Cricetulus griseus: one gene and its partner. The protein of the gene in region 1 binds, or shares a complex with, the protein of each later gene. Links are inferred from orthologs where the notes say so. Each region holds a gene or a part of one and is shown on either strand. Other genes may lie near its edges. The genes, in order: Cul3 and Kbtbd4.

Region 1 (15,876 bases):
GAGATGGAAAGTAAGTGGATATAAAGAGGAAAACAATGTTCATTACTTAGAAAGGATACATAGGTATCAGAGGCTAACAGTTCATCAAGAGCTACTTTAAAGAATAACTTGCAAGCAGAGTGTTAAAGAATCCCTCTTGGTGATGCTGCCTTGATGTTTTAGAAGAATATCTCCAAGAAATCTTGTGTTTTCCAAAGAAGGTAAAGATCCCCTTTGAAGTTTTGTTCACTTGCTCAGCAGTAACATTTTTCATTTAAAAAACAAAGTATGTCCTCCCCCCTTTCTCTAGATTCTAAGTCTTAAATGTATACAAGCCAAATCAACAAGTTTTACTTAATTACTTCAATTTTAGTTGGCTTTAAAAGATTAAAAGGCATAATTTCCAATAGCAAAAACTATGGGCTAGTTAAGACAACTACAAGACTAGTTCTCAATTTCCTATTATTATTATCTAGTTAGGCAAGTATGGCCCTGTTTATTAGGCTGGTGATTAGTGATGTTAAGGCAATGGCTAACCTTTTTAAATGAATCCCCTACTAATGGCAATAGAGAAGCAGCTCTAAATGACCATAGAGGACAACTCTGAGGATACCCTTCTACTGCAAGCCCTCCAGTCCTCTACAATCTGTGACTGTGACTACCCTACAGCACACTCTAAACATTTTTTAAATGAAAATTCTGGCTCTACAATTAGCAACTTTCTTTAAAATATCCTAGTTACACCACTATTAGAAAGTTTTATACTCTGATTTACTCCTTATAATTAGAATCTGTGAAAAACTGTCCTTCAGTGTGTCATTTTATGTGAAAAAAACGGACTAAGGAAAGAACATTGTATTATTTCATTTACTGAATACTGCCTATTCTATGTTGTGTACTAGTATAACTAGACTGATGAAAATCAATTCATAAAGACTTGATGCTTCCCCTAAAAGAAAATTAAACTCCTAAATAAAGAGATATAGATCATTCTATCAGGAATCTTGGCCATGAAAACAAAATGAAATTGGTAATGAAGAAGAAAAAGTTTCTTGCTTCTCACAACAGAAGCCAAGAGCTGAGTAATGATACATGTTCAAGAGTGTAAATGAATAGAAAGATTGCTGAAGAACTTCTATCTCCTGACACTGGTTTTCCTGGGGAGGGGACAATTGTTAGTTTCTTGAAGAGAGGTAAGAGAATTCCTTTGGGGGGTTCGAGGCAGGGTTTCTCTGTTTAACAGCCTTGATTGGCCTGGAACTCACTCTGGAGACCAGGCTGGCCTGAACTCTCAGAGATCCACCTCCATCTGCCTCCTGTGTGCTAGGATTAAAGGTATGTGCCACCACGCCCAGCTGAGAATTCTTAATAAACAGTTTTAAGTGCAGTGATTAAAATTCTGAAGCTGGAGAGATGGCTTAACAGTTAAAAATATTGAACTGGGTTCAATTCCCAGCACCTACAATGCTAGCTCACAGCTGTCTGTAACTCCAGTTTCAGGGGATTCAACACCCTCATACATGCAGGCAATAAAATAAAATAAAATAAAAATAAAACAGCTGAGTAGGAAAGTTGAGAAATGCACTAGCTAGACACACATATGAAATGGGTCTAAGTTAGTGACACTGTCTTTCAATTTTCTTCGGTACACCACAGCCTAGAAAACATGAGCAATGAAGGCAAAAAAAAAAAAAAAAAAAAAAAAAAAAAAAAAAAAAAAAGCCGTCTGGGTGAGCACTGGGAAATCTGAGAATCAATACCAAAAATGAGGAAGACAGGAGATAATTAAAACAAATACAACAACAACAACAAAATAGTAAGTAGTTTTAGATCTGTAGTTCTCAACCTTCCTAATGCTATGGTCCTTTAACACAGTTCCTCATATTGTGGTAACTCCCAACCATAAAATTATTTTCGCTGGTACTTCATAATTAATTTTACTACTGCTATGAATCTTAAAGTAAATATCTGATATGCAGATGGTCTTAGGTGAACCCCTGTGAAAAGGTTGCTTGACCCTCAAAAGGGTCAAGACCCACAGGTTGAGAAATGCTGCTTTAGAACTGATGAACATTTACTTAAACATGTTAGGGTATTATACACATAGCATAGAGTGTTTATCTAATTGTGCAGGAATGACTACTGAAAACTCTCTCTTGAAGCCATACCCCAAGAGCCAGTAGCATTCCTATACAGAACCCCAGAGGTACCAACCCTATATTCTTCAGACTGCATTCTTGGGTGCTTCACAAATTGGTTCTGTGGGCTTTCAGAAATACTAAGCTAGAGCTTGTATAAAATAGGGAGGGAGAGCACAGCACTAAATAAGTATGCAGAACTTCAATCTACCTACAAAAAAATATCAGAATTTTAATATTCAAATTTTGGTAAAATCATGACTCACTATTGACATAATTATAGTTAACTGTGTGCTAACTAAATTCTAAGCTTTACTTTATCACACAAAATGGTAAGGCAGGTCCTTTTAGTATTCTCATTTTATACAGAAAAGTGAGGCTAATTTAGGAGGCAGTACAAGTTATAATGTGGACCTGCTGTTTTAGCCCACACTCTAACTACTACTCTCTCAGCCTCTTTAAATTTTAGCTACACAACTAACACATATGTTGAATGCTCCAAAACTAAAAGTTCCCCAGGATCTACCCATAGTTTTATCCTTACTAATAATAAACAAAAGATATTCAACTACTACTTTTTTGTAATTTTTTATTAGTTCAAATTAGGAACAAGCTTGTTTCACATGTCAATCCCTTCTCCCTCTCCCTCCCCTCCCGACCTACCCTCCACCATCCCATCCACCCTCCACTCCCCAGGCAAGGTAGGGCCCTTGACAGGGGCTCCCCAAAGTCCACCTCAACTACTATTTTTTAACCTATTAATAAATAACAAAGATGTATCTGGCCAAGATTCAAAGATGTCAAACAACCTTGAAGTGTATACTTCCTATTCACATTCACACAGGACCAGTTATAACCTGGTTCTCATATTTACACACTAACCTCAAGCAAACTGAACTCTCAAGCCCTCACCTGTAAAACAGATAACACTAAGATGGTATAGAACAGTAATTCTCAACCTCCCTAATGCTATAACTCTTTTTAATACAGTTCCTCATGTTGTGGTGACCCTCAACTACAAAATTACTTCTCATTACTACTTTAAAACTGTAATTTTGCTACTTTTATGATGGGGGGGGCTTTTTGAGACATGGTTTCTCTGTAGCTCTGGAGCCTGTCCTGGAACTAGCATTCAACAAGTTTTAGCTATATTTCCACCTCTCTTGATAGTCATTATATAATATACGCGAACTCTATTCAGCTCAGTAATTCTAGAATGGATTATGCAGAGTCTAAGCTGCATTCTGTACAGAGAAAAAAAAAATTCCTAGAGTCAGTCAAAATTCCTGACAGTAGGTGAACAATAAAGTAAATGTGGGAATTATAAAGTACCAGTGACAAAATGTTTTCCAAAATCTACCCATATGCACTGTAAGAAACCATTATTAAAAATGAGTACAGGGCCTGGCTGTGATGGTGCAAGCCTTTAATCCCAGCGGGGGTGGGGGGGCAGAGGCAGGAGGATCTCTGTGAGTTTGAGAGCAGCCTGGCTACTTCCAGGATAGCCTCTAAAGCCACAGAGAAACCCTGTCTCAAAAAAAAAACCACACACACACACACAAAAGACTCAACTGGGCTATGAAATCACACAGGGATATGAAACGTTAAAGAAACACATCCAAATGTTAATATTCTTTATTTCCAGGTGGTAAGATTATTGCAATTGTTTTGTTTACTCTCTCTTTGTTTTTTTTTTCCAAAGACAGGGTTTCTCTGTTTAACAGCCTGACCTGTCCTGGAACTAGTTCTGTAGAGCAGGCTGGCCTTGAACTCACAGAGATCCACCTGCCCTCTGCCTCCCAGTAATGGGATTAAAGGCATGATCCACCATAAAATAGTGCTATGAATTTAAAGGAGTAAACCACCTCCCAGCTTATTGGAAATTTAAGCATGGATATTTTATCAAATTTTCTATCATTGGCCTATATCACTTTCATGATTAGAAAGTCAACTGTCAAACCATAATACATCTATGAATTACATACCATATTTTACCTCAATGATTCTTAGTGTTAATACTTTTGGGTTCATTTTAGGACAGGCAAACAAACACCTCTAATCCCAGCACTCAGGAGGCAGAGGCAGGCGAATCTCATTAAGTTTGAGGCCAGCCTGGTCTACAGAGTTCCAGGACAAGTTCCAAAAGCTACAGAGAAACCTTGTCTTGAAAAACCATAAATTAACTATTCATCCAATGTCTATCTACTACCCTTCTGAGAATCCTGAAGGAGAAGTAACAAAAAAATCTGTTGTAAGTTCTCCATATTTATAATATAAAGAAAAATGACAATATTTCTAGTCAAAATCCTATACTCTTCCTGCACTGGACAAACGTTATTACTGCTACCACTAAGCTACATTTAATGAATGAAACATAACCAAACAAATGACTATTTTATGTGAATGATTCAACTTCCTAGTCAATGTACTTGTACGGAAAGAAAGGGCCAAATTTTACATTATTGACTATGCTACTATGTAAAAATAGGCTTTAAAATTCGTGGGGCTGTAGAGATTATTTGGTTCAAGCATACTTGCTGCATAAGGATATGAACTCAAAATCTGAGCACAGTTGTGTGAATGAGTATCTGTAACCCCAGCTCTATGGAAAGGCAAAAACATGAGGATCCCTGGGACTGACTTACTGGCTGCCAGCCCATCTTCAGGTTCAGTGAGAGAACATATCACAAGGGAATAAGGTAATGATAGACAAGGACACCCAAAAATCCTCTGGCCTCAAATATACCCAGACACATATGCCCACACCACACACACACATACACACATTCCACACTTAAATAACTGATACCATTTTCTCCCTCATACACAAATAAACAAACAATAAAATTCACTTTGAGTACTAATTTTCCCAACTCTTCTGAACTGCTATTATATGCAAACTGGAGCAAGAGCGCTGACTCAGCAGTTACAGAGTGTGCACTGCTGGGAGCTTTGTAGAGCGACAGGTCACATCATAGGAGTTACTTTCAGTGTCTCCTAATCTAAGTGAAGCCAAGAATGGCAAATGACAGAGGACAGTATTTTCACTCAAGAATCACACCTCCAAGTCCAACCATGCCTGCCCATTTGAACAAAATTCTGGACCAGACAGAGAGGAATGGTTTTTCAGAGAAATGTTAACCCAAAAGAGTATATACAGGGTAGACAACATACAAGTGAAGACACATGGAAACAGCAAGGAAAAAATTAATCTCTTCCAGTGGAATTACTTGGCCCAAATCCATATGTAATGTCCCCTCTTTGTAATAATCACGCTCTGTAGCCCCAGCTGATATTTTGTGTGCTTTTTTTCTTAATGAAATATTATCAACGGGGGCTAGAGCAGTAGCTCAGTGGTTAAAAGTGCCTAATGATTTTGCAGAAGACCATCACTGATTCCCAGCACCCGCAGGTAGAACGGGACAGCTCCAAGGAGTCTGACTCCTCTGCCTTCTGCTGGCACCTACACTCAAAATGCACAGACCCACACACACCTCACAAAAAACAAAACAAAACAACAAAAAAAAAACTTTAAAAAATTTACCAACAAAAAGATGTAAAATAAACTATAGTCTATATAATAAAAGTAAGTCTAAAAATTAAATCAACAATTTTTTCTGTTAACAGTTCAAGTACAGAAATTCTTAATCTTAAATTTTGTAAGTTTACTTAAAAATGTAAACTGGGGGTGGGGGCAGAAAAAATTCAAGCTGTGCATTAAGCTAGTGTAGTGTAACTTTCACTCTGCTGAATAATGTGAAAACAAACTTAAAATATACACTAAAAATACAAAGAGAACCTGTTTGGTAAAATTTTATCTGCAATACTCTCGTATATATGAAATATTCTGTAAGGTAACTCACCACTACTGTACAGTGAAAATGAAACAAATCCAAACTCACTCATTCCTTTTACATATCAATTTTTTTTGGGGGGGGGACGACCCTGAAATGAGCAACTGAAATTTTTCATTAACCTACGGTTTGCCATAAGTTACAGCTAACTATATATCCACATAGTGTAACATACACCAGTTGTAGGAATATACACACATAAGCATAAGTGGTATTTTTGTGTGTGTGAAATACTATTTATAACTTCTGAGTAGCAGTTGATGTGGGCTGTAGTTTTAGACAAGACCACTAATCTGGATGAAAGTCTGACAGTCTAAGGACCTGATTCCCAGAAGTCAATGAAATATCACTGGAGCCTTATCTACCCCCAACAATGGCTGATTATTTTCAATGGGAACTACCTTGACTGTTATTTATACTTATGAACTAGGAAAAAAACGAAAACACAAAACAAATCTCTGTTCCCGTACTATGTATTAGCTAACCTATCAAACACTATTATCATCTTCAGCTAATGGAATAAAATTCTCTCCTGCTTTTAATCCCTAATACTAGCTCCAGAAAACAAAGATCTTTGCCTTTACACATCTACTGATAAATCCTAAAGCTCCAGGAACAGTACCTGCATACAGCACTCAGTGTATCTTGGAGCAATGAAGGGATGGGAGAGGAAAACAGGTGCTAGCAGGGAGAGGAGGAGGTCAAAGAGGTGCAAGCACAGATAGACAGAATACAACTTGTCAGAGAGGAGGTCTTCCACATCTCACCAAACAAAGACTTCAAGAAAGAACAGCACCAAGAGCAAACATTTCCTAGAAAACCAGTGTCACGATTTCATTAAAAGACACACACACCCCAAAAAATAGAAGGGGGGGGAGGGATCAGACTTGACAATCACCTGGATGGTGGATTCAGGAGGAAAATTTTATTACTCAAATTCATAAACCCAGGCCACTGCCCAATTACAAAGGAAAACATAGTAGTGAACTTTATCAGTGTTGTCTTTCCAGCATTTCTCACTTTCTGATGTAAAAATAAATCGTTCATAATGTAATTAATATCAAAATACTTCTTCCTCCTGATTGTACCCACCCTGTTTACATAGGCCCCATTTATTTACATAAAAGTTTCAATATGTTCCTTGCAAATTCACAATTCTGCATCAGTTGTATACTTTTCTTTTTGACATTAAGAATTCAGTGGCCCTCAAGTTCTCCAGGACAAAGTTACTCAACTCGGGCAACACTGTGGTCTGTCTGTCTTTCCTTTCCTCACTGCAAAGGGTACCCACACGACAGAATGCTTATGAGCCTCAGAAGAGAAAAACAACAACTTTCCTTGGTTTTACTTTTAAGAGGACTTGCCCGACTGCGGGTTTGCCCGTTTGACTTTTACCTGTTACTGTAGCGACATGAGCAAGTATGTCCAGTTTCTCTGTTACAACAGGACCTTTTAATTGCCTGCCACTGGCTGTCTGATGGAGGCATGACATCCGAAGTTAGGCTCCATCTACTAAACACCGCAAGCCTATATGACTCAACGCAACGCCAAGAGAGAAAAAAAAAAAAGTTTCTCAAGAGAAAAACGTTTGCTGTCGCTAAAAGAAACGTACAAGGTAAAACTAGCCTGCGTGGCGACTATTCTTGGGGACTTCCCTGGCTAAGAGATGGAAAAGCAGGAGAGTGCAGCTCCTTCTGTGCCTGGCCGGCCCTCCTCGGAGCGGAGCGTCTGGTGAAGCGCTCAGGAGGCTTGCGGGATCAAAGATGCTATAAATACTAGGCTCGGTGCTGCTGCTGCTCTTTAGCCACCGGGCATTTCTGTCAGTGAGTGGGGCAGGCGGGCGGCAAGACGGCTCCTGACTGAGGAGGGGGCAGAGGCGGACGGTCCTCCCCACCACCGTCCAAGCCCAGCCGGCTCCTTCTGGAAACCAGCAGCTGAAAGTTACACACACACACACACACACACACACACAAACACACACACACACACACGCCCCACGCGAGGGCTGCGGCGGCGGCAGCGCGCGTCCCCTTCGGGCCGAGGCAAGCGAGGCCGGCGCGAAGGAGGCCCCGGGGCGACCGGGGCGTCAGGAACGGCCCGGCTCGCGCCCGGTGGCGACCGCGCCGGCCCGCGCCGCCCGCTTGCCCTGGAAGGCTCGCGCCCCGCCACCGGCGGCCGTGGGGTGAGGGGAGGCGGGCTGCGGCCTGTTGGCGGAGTTCAGCCCCGGCCTCGCGTGCGGCTCCCGGCCGCGGCTCCGGGTCCCGGGCGCCGAGGACCGACTCACCGGAAAGGCCCGGATCCGCATCTTGGTGTCCTTCCGGCTGCCCGTGCCTTTGCTCAGATTCGACATGGTGCTCGGCCCCTCCCCGGTGGCGGCGGCGGGTGCGGGTGCGGCGGCTGCGGCGGCGGCTCGCACTCCGAGGCGCCGGTGTCACATTGAAGGCGGGAGGGCGGCCGCGGGCTCGGCGGGGGCGGCGGCGCGGCCCCCGGGCTGCGGCTGGCAGCGGGCCGGCCCCTGCGCGGGGCCGCGCCGGCGGCGGGCGGCGGCTCGGGCCGGCGGCCTCGGGCTCGGCGCTGCGCTGGCGCGGCGGCTCGCGGGCTTCCCCTCGCGCCGGGCTCGGCTCCCTTTATCGCGCTCCTCCGCGATGGCGGCGGCGGCGGCGACGGACAAACATCTCACTGCGCAGGCCGAACGTCCTCCTCCTCCTCCTTCTCCTCCTCCGCCTCAGCGAGACGAGATCCGGCCCAGAGGGTGGAGGGGGGAGGAGGGAGGGAGGAGAGCCGAGAGTGGAGAGATGGGGGGAGGGGGCGGGAGGACGGGAGGGGAAGCGGGAAGCGCGCGGCCTGCGGCAACGTTCCAGATTCTCGGCGAGATTCGGGGCGGCGCGCGCCGCGCCGCGGCGCGGGAGGGGCCGGCGGCGCGGGCGCGGGTCGGAGCCGGGAGGGCGGGAGGGAGGGAGCGCGAGGAAGGGGCGGGGACGCGGAGGAGGGTGCGGAGCTAGGAATGACAGCGGGCAGCGTCCTGGGGGCGGGAAAGGGGCGGGGCCCGGGGCCAGGAGGCGTGGGCTGCCTTTTCAAAAGAGGAGCGTCCGAGACCCCCGGTAGGCGGGGGCGGCCGCTGATTGGTGGAGGGCGAAGATGATGTGTCACGTGGGCAGTGGGCGGGGGAAGTTCCGGGAGCCAAGCTGGGATTTTTCAGCGCCGTGGCCCCCGCCCGCCCGCCCGGCGGAGCCCCCTTGCAGGTAGTCCCAGGCAAGGGCGTGGGTGCCCGTGGGGCGGCTCAACGTCCTCGAACTGTGGCTGTGTTTTTCTAGGGCACGTGGCCTAGGGATGGGTACTTGAGCCCCAGCCAGAAACTTGGAAGCAGAGTTTGTGCCCAATGAGAAGCTGATGTCCTATATCGAGCTAGGTGTTGCAACGCCTCACAACTGAGGCGACCAGGCTTCCTTGCTTGCACTGCGCTAGCTCCTGGGTTTGTCGGTAAATTTGGTATTTTCTGGAGGATCCAGAACCTACTAATGTGAAAACCGGTTTTTGTTTGTATCGAAATAAAACGAGTGCCTAATGTACCACATCTTTTTTTATTCCCCTTTTTTTGGGGGGTCGGGGGGAGGCCGGGGTTCGAGACAGGGTTGCTCTGTGTAGCTTTGGAGCCTATCCTGGCACTCGCTCTGGAGACCAGGCTGGTCCCGAACTCACAGATCCGCCTGCCTCTGCCTCCCGAATGCTGGGATTAAGGTCGTGCACCACCACTGCCCTGCGTACTACAATATCTTAATAGTCTGTGTTAAACATTATGATAGACGCCTGCCAAACAAATCTTTTGTACCATTACCAAGAGCAGTGCAGACCATTAAAACAAAAGCCACCGTGGAATTCAGTTTGCTGTAGATTTGGAAACGTTTTTTGTTTGCTCTGGGACTCTTTTATCATCCTATAGTGGAACTGTCTAGTTTGACTGCCTTTTGCTTTTAATTTAGTATGACTCCAACTTCCTAATCTACCTACTTACTCATTGCTGTTTCCATCTCCACAGGGAAAACCTGACTTTCTCCTGAGGTTTCTAATTTTTTGAATAAACTGTTGTGATGTGCATCTGCATTTGGAAGCTGAGGTCTGAGTAACTTTTTAAAATAGAAAACTTAGTAAAGCTTGCTTATTTATGATTGCATTAGCCCTAAATTATTTGTAATGTCTAAGCTTACAGTGCTATGCTCCAGACTCTCCTACGTGGAAATGCCCCCAATGAAAAATAAACTTTAAAAAATAGGCTTACAGCCAGGTGTGATGGCACTGGCCTTTAATCCCAGCACTAGGGAGACAGAGGCATGAGGATCTCTGTGAGTCGAAAGCCAGCTTGGTCTACAAAGTGAGTTCCAGGACAGCCAGGGCTGTTATACAGAAAAACCCTGTCTCAAAAAACCAAGTGTGTGTGTGTGTGTGTGTGTGTGTGTGTGTGTGTGTGTGTGTGTGATGTATGTTTATCTGTATTTACTAATCAAAACAGAAGCTTGAGAATGTTGCTTACACTAAGCTAAAAATAAAAAATGGGTTAGTTAAAACTAGGAAAGGCTCTGACAAACATAATAAGTGTGGATAGGAGTATATAATTTGCATGCTAATTGATCTTCATTTCCATAGTTATCACAATATAAAACTTTTCTGTTGGCTGTTCTGTCACATAGCTCCGTTTCTTAATAAAGTTAAATATATGTTCTGTAGGCATTGGTTTCAATCTAAGCTCTGCCACTTGTTTTGTTCTTTTGAGACAGGAGTTCTGTGTGTAACATCTCTGGCTGTCCAGGAACTCTCTCGGTAGACCAGGCTGGCCTCAAACTCCCAGAGATCCACCTGCCTCTGCCTCCCCAGTGCTGGGATTAGGGGTGTGTGCCACCACCAACCAGATAAGTCCTGCCACTTTATTAACTGTGTAATAAATTTCTTTGTGGGCAAGGATTTGGCTATTTTGTCTGGAGGGCTTCATCCGTGAAATGGAGACAATATTTCTTCCTGGGTTGCTATCAGATTTGAATGAGTGAGTGAATACGTTTTAAAAGCCATCAAAAAGTTGACCAGATGGCTCAGCAGTAAGAAGTAGATGTACTTGCCCTACACAAGTTTGATGAACCTGATGTTTATGCCTGGTGCCTAACTAAAGGTTAAAAATGAAACAGAACCAACTCTCAAAGGTTTTTGTTTTTTGTTTTTTGTTTTTTCTGACTACACACACAAACACACACAGAGGACATGGCATGTCAACATCCACATATTCACATGCACAACAATAATAAAACTTTTAAAAATGTGATAGCCATCAAGCAGCCATGCAGTACTTTTTGGCTGTTACTATATTATTCAATATGGCCTAAGTTATATTAGTTCCTACAAAATAAGTAAATACTGGTATGTGTTTATAAAATGGGTCATATCTGAAAGCCAGGCTGCAGCTCAGATACCACATACCAGGAAAACATTTTTCAGGAAACTGGAGAGCCCTTAGAAGACTATCAATTATAATTTGTCAAATAAACAGGAACAAGCAGATGATCGAGATGGCTAGACAGATACCCACCAAGCTGGGGACCTGAGCTTGATCTCTAGTGCCTGTAGGTGGAAGGAGAAAACTGACTCAGAAGTTTTATGTTTTCACTACTCAGCTTGAAAAGTGAAGTTAAATCGAGCAGTGGTGGCGCTCGCTTTAATCCCAGCACTTGGGAGGCAGAGGCAGGTGGATCTCTGTGAGCCTGGTCTACAAGAACAAGAACGAGTTCCAGGACAGTCAGGGCTGCACAGAGAAGCCCTGTCTCAAACAAACAAACAAACAAACAAACAAAAGTGAAGTTAAATTTGCAGGAAATTAGATGGACTTAGAATGTATGATGTTAAGTGGGCTCACACAAAATCAGAAAGAAAGAAACTGCATGCTCCCTCTCATAAAGAGACTCCAGGCAATACTATATGTAATATGTAGACAAATGTACTTGTGGGTATGAAGAATGAGAATAAGAAAGGCAGAATATGAAGGAATCAGGAAATACTGAATGTAGGTGATAGATACAAGTTATGAAGGACGATAGAGGGCTTTTTTTTTTTTTTTTTTTTTTTTTTTGCTTTTGGTGGTGAATAAGTGCATAAAATATATGCAGTAGTAAAAGTGTAAAATTTAATATGAAGCTCCACAGCTTCCATTTTGAATGTCAATTCTAACTACAGAGGTTCATCAAGTCTATGGATGTGGTATTTTTATGATTTGCAGGGGTTTTTTTTAAATAAAACTTAATTAAATTAAAAAATTTACAAGAACAATCATCCCTATAATTTTAATAAAAGAAATATTTTGACTCAGCAATTGCGAAGATTTAAGTTTTGAATAAAGAACGTTGATTCATTTAGCCTTATGAAAAATAGTACATCAACCTTTCTCAGTTTTCCATGAACTTGGGAAAATACCAAAGGCCAGACTAGAAGAATTAACTACTTAAGACCTATCTCTATTCAATTGTAAAGTGATATAGTCACTTTCATTTGTTTCACAAACACAGATCTCATATTTGTGTTACTTAAGCAAAAACTAAGTGCATTTAAAAGAATCACTATCGCCGGGCAGTGGTGGTGCACACCTGGCACCACTCGGGAGACGGAGGCAGGCGGATCTCTGTGAGTTCGAGACCAGCCTGGTCTACAAGAGCTAGTTCCAGGACAGCCTCCAATGCCACAGAGAAACTCTGTCTCGAAAAACAAAAGACAAAAAAACATAAAAAAGAATCGCTATCAACTGTTCCTTAGATCCCTACCCCACCCCACCCCCAGACAGGATTTCTCTGTGTAGCTCTGACTGTCCTGGAATTTGCTCTGTAGACCAGGTTGGTCTCAAACTCACAGAGATCTCCCTGCCTCTGCTGGGATTAAAGGCATGTGCCATCACTGCCCAGCCTGTTTTCTTAGATTTTAAGCATCAAGAAAAAACAAAAATGCTTCAAACTGAATCACATTAAGAAATTTACTGATTTGGGGCTGGAGAGATGGGTCAGCGGTTAAGAGCACTAGCTGTTCTTTCAGAGGACATTGGTTCAATTCCCAGCAACCACATGACAGCCTACAACTGCCTGTAACACTACCTCCCACACCTTCACACAGACATACATGTAGGCAAAACCCCAATGCACATAAAATAAAAATAAGTAAATCAGTTTTAAAGAAAATTTGCTGATTTATTTGTTCATTTATTTACTCAAGTATTTATTGAACAGCTACTATATATGTGAAGTTCTAGTGTGAATAAATGAGTTGAGACCCATCATCACAGAACATAAAAGTTCTTTACATCTCAAAATTAGAAACCACAAACCCAAATTGAATTGAGCAATAACTTCCTGTATATTTCAGTGCAGAAATCAAGAGATTTTTTTTTCTTTCCAGGGAAGCAGCATCCTCAAAATGTATATGAAAAAAACGTCTAAACTTCAGTAGACTATTCTAATGGCTCATGGTAGTCCCTGACTTGCAAATAAAAGATGACCTTTCAGGGTCTTATCTTTTGTGCAAGCAGCCACCTTCCCAACAGAGCAAGCACACTGCAATAGGAACACACTAGATCTTGCATGCCTGACAGTTATTATTCCTACTCCTGCTGACAGTGTCCTGACACAGGGAAACAGTGGCCCCGTTTCCATTATCCGCACGGGGGACGTGTAGTCAGACATGTCAGGCCAGGCAGCTGGGTGTGCCAGCCCCTTTTCTAAATTCCAGTCTGCAAAAAGCACCATAAGGTGTGAAGAGCCTGTAAAAGGGAATAATAGCCTCTTCTTGGCTATGAGTTTCTGGGTATCCAGGAAACCAAGCCTCTGTAATCACCACTACAGACACACATGTTTGATTGTAAAGATATTGGTTATTAAATCAGCTCACAACCTACCAATTCAATTAGAAGTTAATGATTTTGAACAGACCAAGACCATGGTAAGGGAAGTTGTATGCTTTTCAGATTAGAAGACAGATGTAGAGAGAGTCCCAGCTCCTTGCACGAAAGAGCTAGATTTTCTTTCTTCTTTGTTTCCTAATAAGTACTACAGGTCATTAGACGTGGGGTTGCCCAAATGCCTGGTAACAGCATGTATATCTGCATTGTACAATGCCATGTTATTAAAGGGAAATGTGTGGAGATCAGAGGATAACTTAGTGAGCCAGTTCGCTCCTTCACCTTTGTGTGAATCCTGGGGTTTGAACTCAGGTCACCAGGCTTGTGTGGCAGGTGTTCTTTTACCTGTTGAACCATCATGCTAGCCTGCACAAGATTTTATTTCAAAGGAAAATAATTTTCTCTTACCAATTGCATTTTAACAGTAAACATCGAAAGAAGCCTCTAGGGGGCAATTATATTGTGTATCACTTTCATTCATGACAGCTAAAGTATATATTGAAATTTATAATTCATCAGCTCATTCTTTGTAAGGTAAATTTGGAGTTGAGATATAGCATGGCACTAGAGAGCCATGAAAGCAAATAGTATAAATTTTATTCTACATTTAGTAATTGTATAAACTAGCCCGCCAGTAAGTGTAATAAAATAGCATTATCTTTAAACTTCCTCCGTAAGCTCTTGTCTGTGTTGTTCAGAGTGAAATCGTAGGCTTAATTCTTCTATCTAGACCTGGTAGAATTTGCAATGTGAGTGAATTAAAGCAGCCCTGGTAGGACAGAATTAACATCAACTGATGAAAAGACATCAAAACCAACAAAGCTATGTCTAGCTCCAGTTAATACAATGAAACAATTCCTAGAGACAAGTTGATTCTGTGCCACCGCCTTCTGGATCCTCTCATTATTTCATGGCCTCTTTGCCACCGTCGTCTTCTTCTTCTTCTTCTTCTTCTTCTTCTTCTTCTTCTTCTTCTTCTTCTTCTTCTTCTTCTTCTTCTTCTTCTTTTTCTTCTTCTTTCTTTTTCTTCTTTTCTTCTCTTCTCCTCCTCCTCCTCTCCTCCTCCTCCTTCTTTTTTTTTTTTTTTTTTTAAGACAGGGTTTCTTTTTGAAGCTTTGAAACCTGTCCTGGAACTCGCTCTGGAGACCAGGCTTTTTGAGTAAAGGATCCATCAAATGGGCGTTCTGAGGTGCTGGCAACATAGACATTTTTTAAAGATGAATCAGACTTTACATTTAACTGAGTTTAAAAAAAAAAACCTCAAGAATCATTTTTATGTATGAGTCTATTAGAAGTGGAACTTCTCTGTGGCTGACATTCACGTTGACAAGACACCTATCCCTGCATGAACCTCCAGGTGTCTTAGAACAAGATGATTTGAGATGATTTGATTGTTAAAGTGGCTACATGTTTGGTGAAATTAATTATGACAGTGATGACAGTGGTATCTGTTCTTGAGGGGAGGATGCTTTTTATTAGCTTCCCGATCTTTTATTCCAAGGGGAATTTCTGACTCTGGGTGGTCTTAGAGGATAGCAGTTATCACTTCCTACCCTGTTAGCCAAAGTGACTTGATTGGTCCTTGTGTATAAGGATGAGCACAGATGATACAGGTAATCAGGTCCGTACCTAAAACCACGAGTAGATGAGTGAAGGACACAGGTAGTCCACCATTCAGGGGCAGTGGCAGTAAATAAGCTAGACTCTGTCTGGTGGATGACTTTCACTGTCACCTGCTCCTCAGCGTCTTGGGTTCTCATGCTTACACAGCAAGTGCTCATACCCATCTCTCCAGTGCCCTAAGTACAGTTCATCTATGTTGTAAAGAACATAGCTCATCCTATAATTGTGCACAGACTGACCTATCTTCCTTCCTTCCTTCCTTCCTTCTTCCCTCCCTCCCTTCTTCCCTCCCTCACCTCTTCCCTTCCTCTCTTCTTTCCTTCCTTTCTTTTGTTTGAGAAACTTATTCACCACTGTTTTAGAT
Region 2 (4,061 bases), on another chromosome or scaffold:
AGCCCTGGAACAGGGTTAGAGACAGTTGTAAGCTGCCATATGGGTGCTGGGAATTGAACTTGAGTCCTTCAGAAGAGCAACCAGTGCTCTTAACCATGGAGCCATCTATCCAGCTCATTATTTTTGTATGTTTTGGTTTTTCCTGGCACTCATTCTGTAGACCATCCTGGCCTCAAACTCACATAGATCTGCCTGCCTCTGCCTCCCGAATGTTGGGATTAAAAGTGTGCGCCACTACTGCCCTTCATTAAAAAATATTTGACATGTTTTGCCAGCACATGTCTTTGTACCATATGCATGCCTGGTACCCATGATCAGAAGATAGCATCAGATGCCCTAGAAGTGGAGGTACTGACGGTTGTGAGCCACCATGTGGATTCTGGGAACTGAACCACAGTCCTCTGTAAGAGTAACAAGTGCAAGGACAACAAGTGCTCTTAACTGCTGAGCCCTCTGTCCAGCTTCATCAATGACAATCTTTTTTGTTTGTTTGTTTTGTTTTTCGAGACAGGGTTTCTCTGTGGCTTTGGAGGCTGTCCTGAAACTAGCTCTTGTAGACCAGGATGGTCTAGAACTCACAGAGATCCACCTGCCTCTGCCTCCTGAGTACTGGGACTAAAGGCGTGCGCCACCGCAGCCGCCACCACCACCTGGCATCAATGACCATCTTAATGGGCTCTCAAGAGGAATCACAGCTGGGCATAGTAGCAAATGCGTTAAATCCTTGCACTTGGGAGGCACAGATATCTCTGTGAGTTCAAAGCCAGCATGATCTACATGGTGAGTGAAAGGAAAGCCATGGCTATGTAAAGAGACCCTGTCTCAAAAAAAACCAAAAAACAAAGACCTGAGTCACTTTATTTGACCACTATTATATGTATTTGTTTATGCATGTATCCAATTACATACGTATGAAGTTAACTTGAAACTACTCCACCACTAACATTTTGCAGTGTTGGGATCAAACACAGGGTCTCATGTACACCAGGGAAATGCTCTATGACCAAGTTACACCACTAGCCCTGGCTTGCTTTTTAAAAGAAAAGTGGATGGCATAATTTGCTCCCACATGCTACAGAAGTCACCTATCAGGCTACAGAGCACACATCTCAAGTACAGTCCCACCTCACCTGCCAGGGCAGAACTGTTACCTAAATAATTGTACCCAAATGTTTCCTATTTTAGATAGCTTGACTTATCATCTATATCAATTTGTTTAAATAAATAATCCTGTAGGTACGGGGCAGATGAAAACATGAGGCACCTCTTACTTCCTTTTGTTGAAAAGTGATACAGCTTTTTGTTCTTCAGCTTTTTCTGTAAGGCACTCTGTCTCTTACAGCAGCTACCCTGATTCTCAACCTCAATCTAAATCTCTACCAGAAATGATAATATAAAGTTAACAACAGTTAGTTACATAATCTTGCGAGTCCTCCTGAGCCAGAATACCCACTGAAAATTACTCTTGCATAGTTGGGTATGATAAGCCCCTCCACAAACCGACCTGAGATGATGTCAGTGAGGAGATGGTGGGGCAAGTGGAGAAACTCCTCTGTGCTCTGCAGCTGGGCCAGGTGAGTCTTGGCACAGTGTTTGGCAGCAGTGTAGAGCTCAGGATCACTGTGCCTATCTGCAAGCCACATCACCTGAAGGCAGTTTCCCACTTGTACTGTGCGTGCGAGAAACCGAGAACATTCCTCAAAGAGCGATGTCAGCTGATACATGTCTGACACCTCATAAATCTCCTGCAGCTCTTCAGCTCGAAGCTTCACAGTCCCGTGGTAAATATAATCAACCAGGAGCTGGAAAACAGACTCACTGACATCTTGCAGCACAATCACCCGGTTGTGAGCCTCCTTCAGGTTAGAAGTGAACATGGACCGGAAGAAGCAGCTCTGGGCTGACAGGACCAGCCGGTGGAGCTGAAACTCTCGGCCTTCCACTGAGATGGTAACATCAGCAAATAGCTCCTCCTCTAAACACAGTTTCATAATGCCTTGAGCCACTCGGCCTGAGTGAGATCGGTCTTTGAAAGTATAGTTCACAAAGTAGTTTTCATCCATGGATGCTCCAGGCTCCTCTGGTGACTCCATGGTAGCCAACTTCTCTCTCTGCCACCTATCTGCAAAACAATACCACCCTAAGTATTTGAGTAATTCACAGACACTGTCCATGCCTCCAACTGTCCAACTCAGGATAGGGAGAAGGGGGAAATAGGAGCAAAATGGGTCCAGACTGGCCTTATCCCTGGCATTGCCAACATGGTCTATGACATTCCTTCACCCAAAGTTTTCCTGCAGTGGGGTCTCTCCTCCAATGAGATCAATTAAAGTTCTATCTCTGCTGTTTTTCCTTGAGGGAAAAGCAGACATTCCTGATGATGTAACAAAAGACTTGTGACTTTGGTCATCTGGTGAAAGTGGAGAAGGAGGAAGCCTATGATCTTAAAAGATTTACTAATCAAATAATTTGGATATATAACTAGTGAGACTCAGGAGAAGCATAATTAAACCAAAAAAAGAAGAAGAAAGTAAATAAGGCAAGGCAACCAGTTATTGTGGCTAGATTCCTTTCTTGCCTGGACATAAGCGTGCAGACCCACCGATACGAGGCCTGGGCCTGGACATCCATTACTTCCACCCTTGCTCTTTTCTGAGCGGCTGTTCTCTACTTACCCACTCGCCCCAGTGAGCTCCTAAAGAAGCTCAAGAGAGCCCAGCCGTCCCCGGCCGGGGGCACAAGGAAGTCCATAACCTGTGCAATCCGACCGCGCCACCTAGAGTCGCCTAGGAAACGGTCTCCAAGGAAACCGTCCGTCCTCTCCCCGCCACCCTCCCTCATCAAAAGCCTTGGCTCTGGAGCCGGGGAGCGGTGTGGAACTTAGAACCCAGAACGCCCACCCTTTCTTTCCCCTTCTCTCACCCGTCCGATTCTTTGCAGCTGCTTCTCTTCGGCCTCCGCTGTACCGAGTTAGGGCTACGTACACCTCACGGTTTTCCCACCTTCGGGTCTTTCTTACCTGCGTTACCTCCTTTCATGCCAGTGCCCAGATCCGGAACCTCTGCTTCCCGCCCCGCGTCTGCCCGGAAGAAGATTCATTGCACATTTCCACTTCCGGTCCGTGCCCTTGGGGCTCCGTGGCCTGTGTGTGCTCCTTCGGGTAGTTTGTCGACAGGCACCCAAGGAACATGGCGGCCGCCGCAGCCAGAGTCTGGTGGCGTGGGCTCGTGGGGGCTGCTTCCGTAGCCAGGGGTGAGCAAGGGACAGCAAGGGCAGCGGCAGAGGCGCGCCTAACACGGAGACCTCTCTGGTCTCACCCGCGCCTTTGGCCTTTTATCTCTCTGCGCAGGGACTGGGCGACCCTCAGCGCTGTTGCAACGGGTGAGGAGGGAGAGCGCGGCGGCTGACACGCGCCGTGAGTATGTGCGGACCTCGCTCTTCTCCCCGACGTTAGCAGGAGCTTTTCATTGTTCGGTCAGATGTTTGTCCTTGCCCTGGAATGCCCTTCCCTCTTGGCAAATCTCTGCTTGTCCTTGGAGATTGCTGTGGTCTCCACTTGGCTGGTAGAATCGAGTACTTCCTGTGCCCTAGATATTTGTTCCCTTCTGATCTTGATCGCTCTTTGCTCGTTTTCATGATTCCCCCCTCCCTCCGATTAAATTGTCAGCTCTTTGAGAGCAGGTAACAAAACTTTTGAGACCAGAAGAACAGAAATATAGCAGCTCACACCAATCTAGTACTTATTAGGCACCGTAAGGCTTTAAACCATACAGTAAATAATTTCCTTTGGACTTAATAACAGCCACATGAGATGCATAGTACTTTATTGACAGTACTATAGATCATGAAGCAGTCTACATAATTAAATGTTTCAGTCACGGGTCCACTGAACGACAAAACAGGTCTTCGGTAAATACTTAGTAACTCTTTGCCTGATGTGTGGGTGCTCAAGTAATTAATTGAGCGATCATGTGATTTTATGGTCAGTCAACAGAATCAAGCTGGGAAATTGAAGGCCTGGCTTTCTTCCATTTCTGGACATCAATCTTCCTATAGATAAC

The links.
Region 2: Cul3 (region 1) and Kbtbd4 share a complex: the UniProt entries of both Homo sapiens proteins name them as parts of the BCR(KBTBD4) E3 ubiquitin ligase complex. The link is inferred for Cricetulus griseus from reciprocal best matches to the Homo sapiens genes CUL3 and KBTBD4.

What each region holds. Positions count from the first base shown.
Region 1 is NC_048595.1:432,985,959-433,001,834, forward strand, and holds the start of Cul3 (cullin-3), read right to left. Parts: upstream 8,450-15,876; 5' UTR 8,322-8,449; coding exon 8,256-8,321; intron 1-8,255. UniProt on the Homo sapiens protein: Core component of multiple cullin-RING-based BCR (BTB-CUL3-RBX1) E3 ubiquitin-protein ligase complexes which mediate the ubiquitination and subsequent proteasomal degradation of target proteins.
Region 2 is NC_048599.1:85,853,347-85,857,407, forward strand, and holds the start of Kbtbd4 (kelch repeat and BTB domain-containing protein 4), read right to left. Parts: upstream 2,801-4,061; 5' UTR 2,752-2,800; coding exon 2,676-2,751; intron 2,123-2,675; coding exon 1,505-2,122; intron 1-1,504. Other genes in the region: Ndufs3 (NADH dehydrogenase [ubiquinone] iron-sulfur protein 3, mitochondrial), read left to right, coding at 3,189-3,252, 3,350-3,415. UniProt on the Homo sapiens protein: Substrate-specific adapter of a BCR (BTB-CUL3-RBX1) E3 ubiquitin ligase complex which targets CoREST corepressor complex components RCOR1, KDM1A/LSD1 and HDAC2 for proteasomal degradation.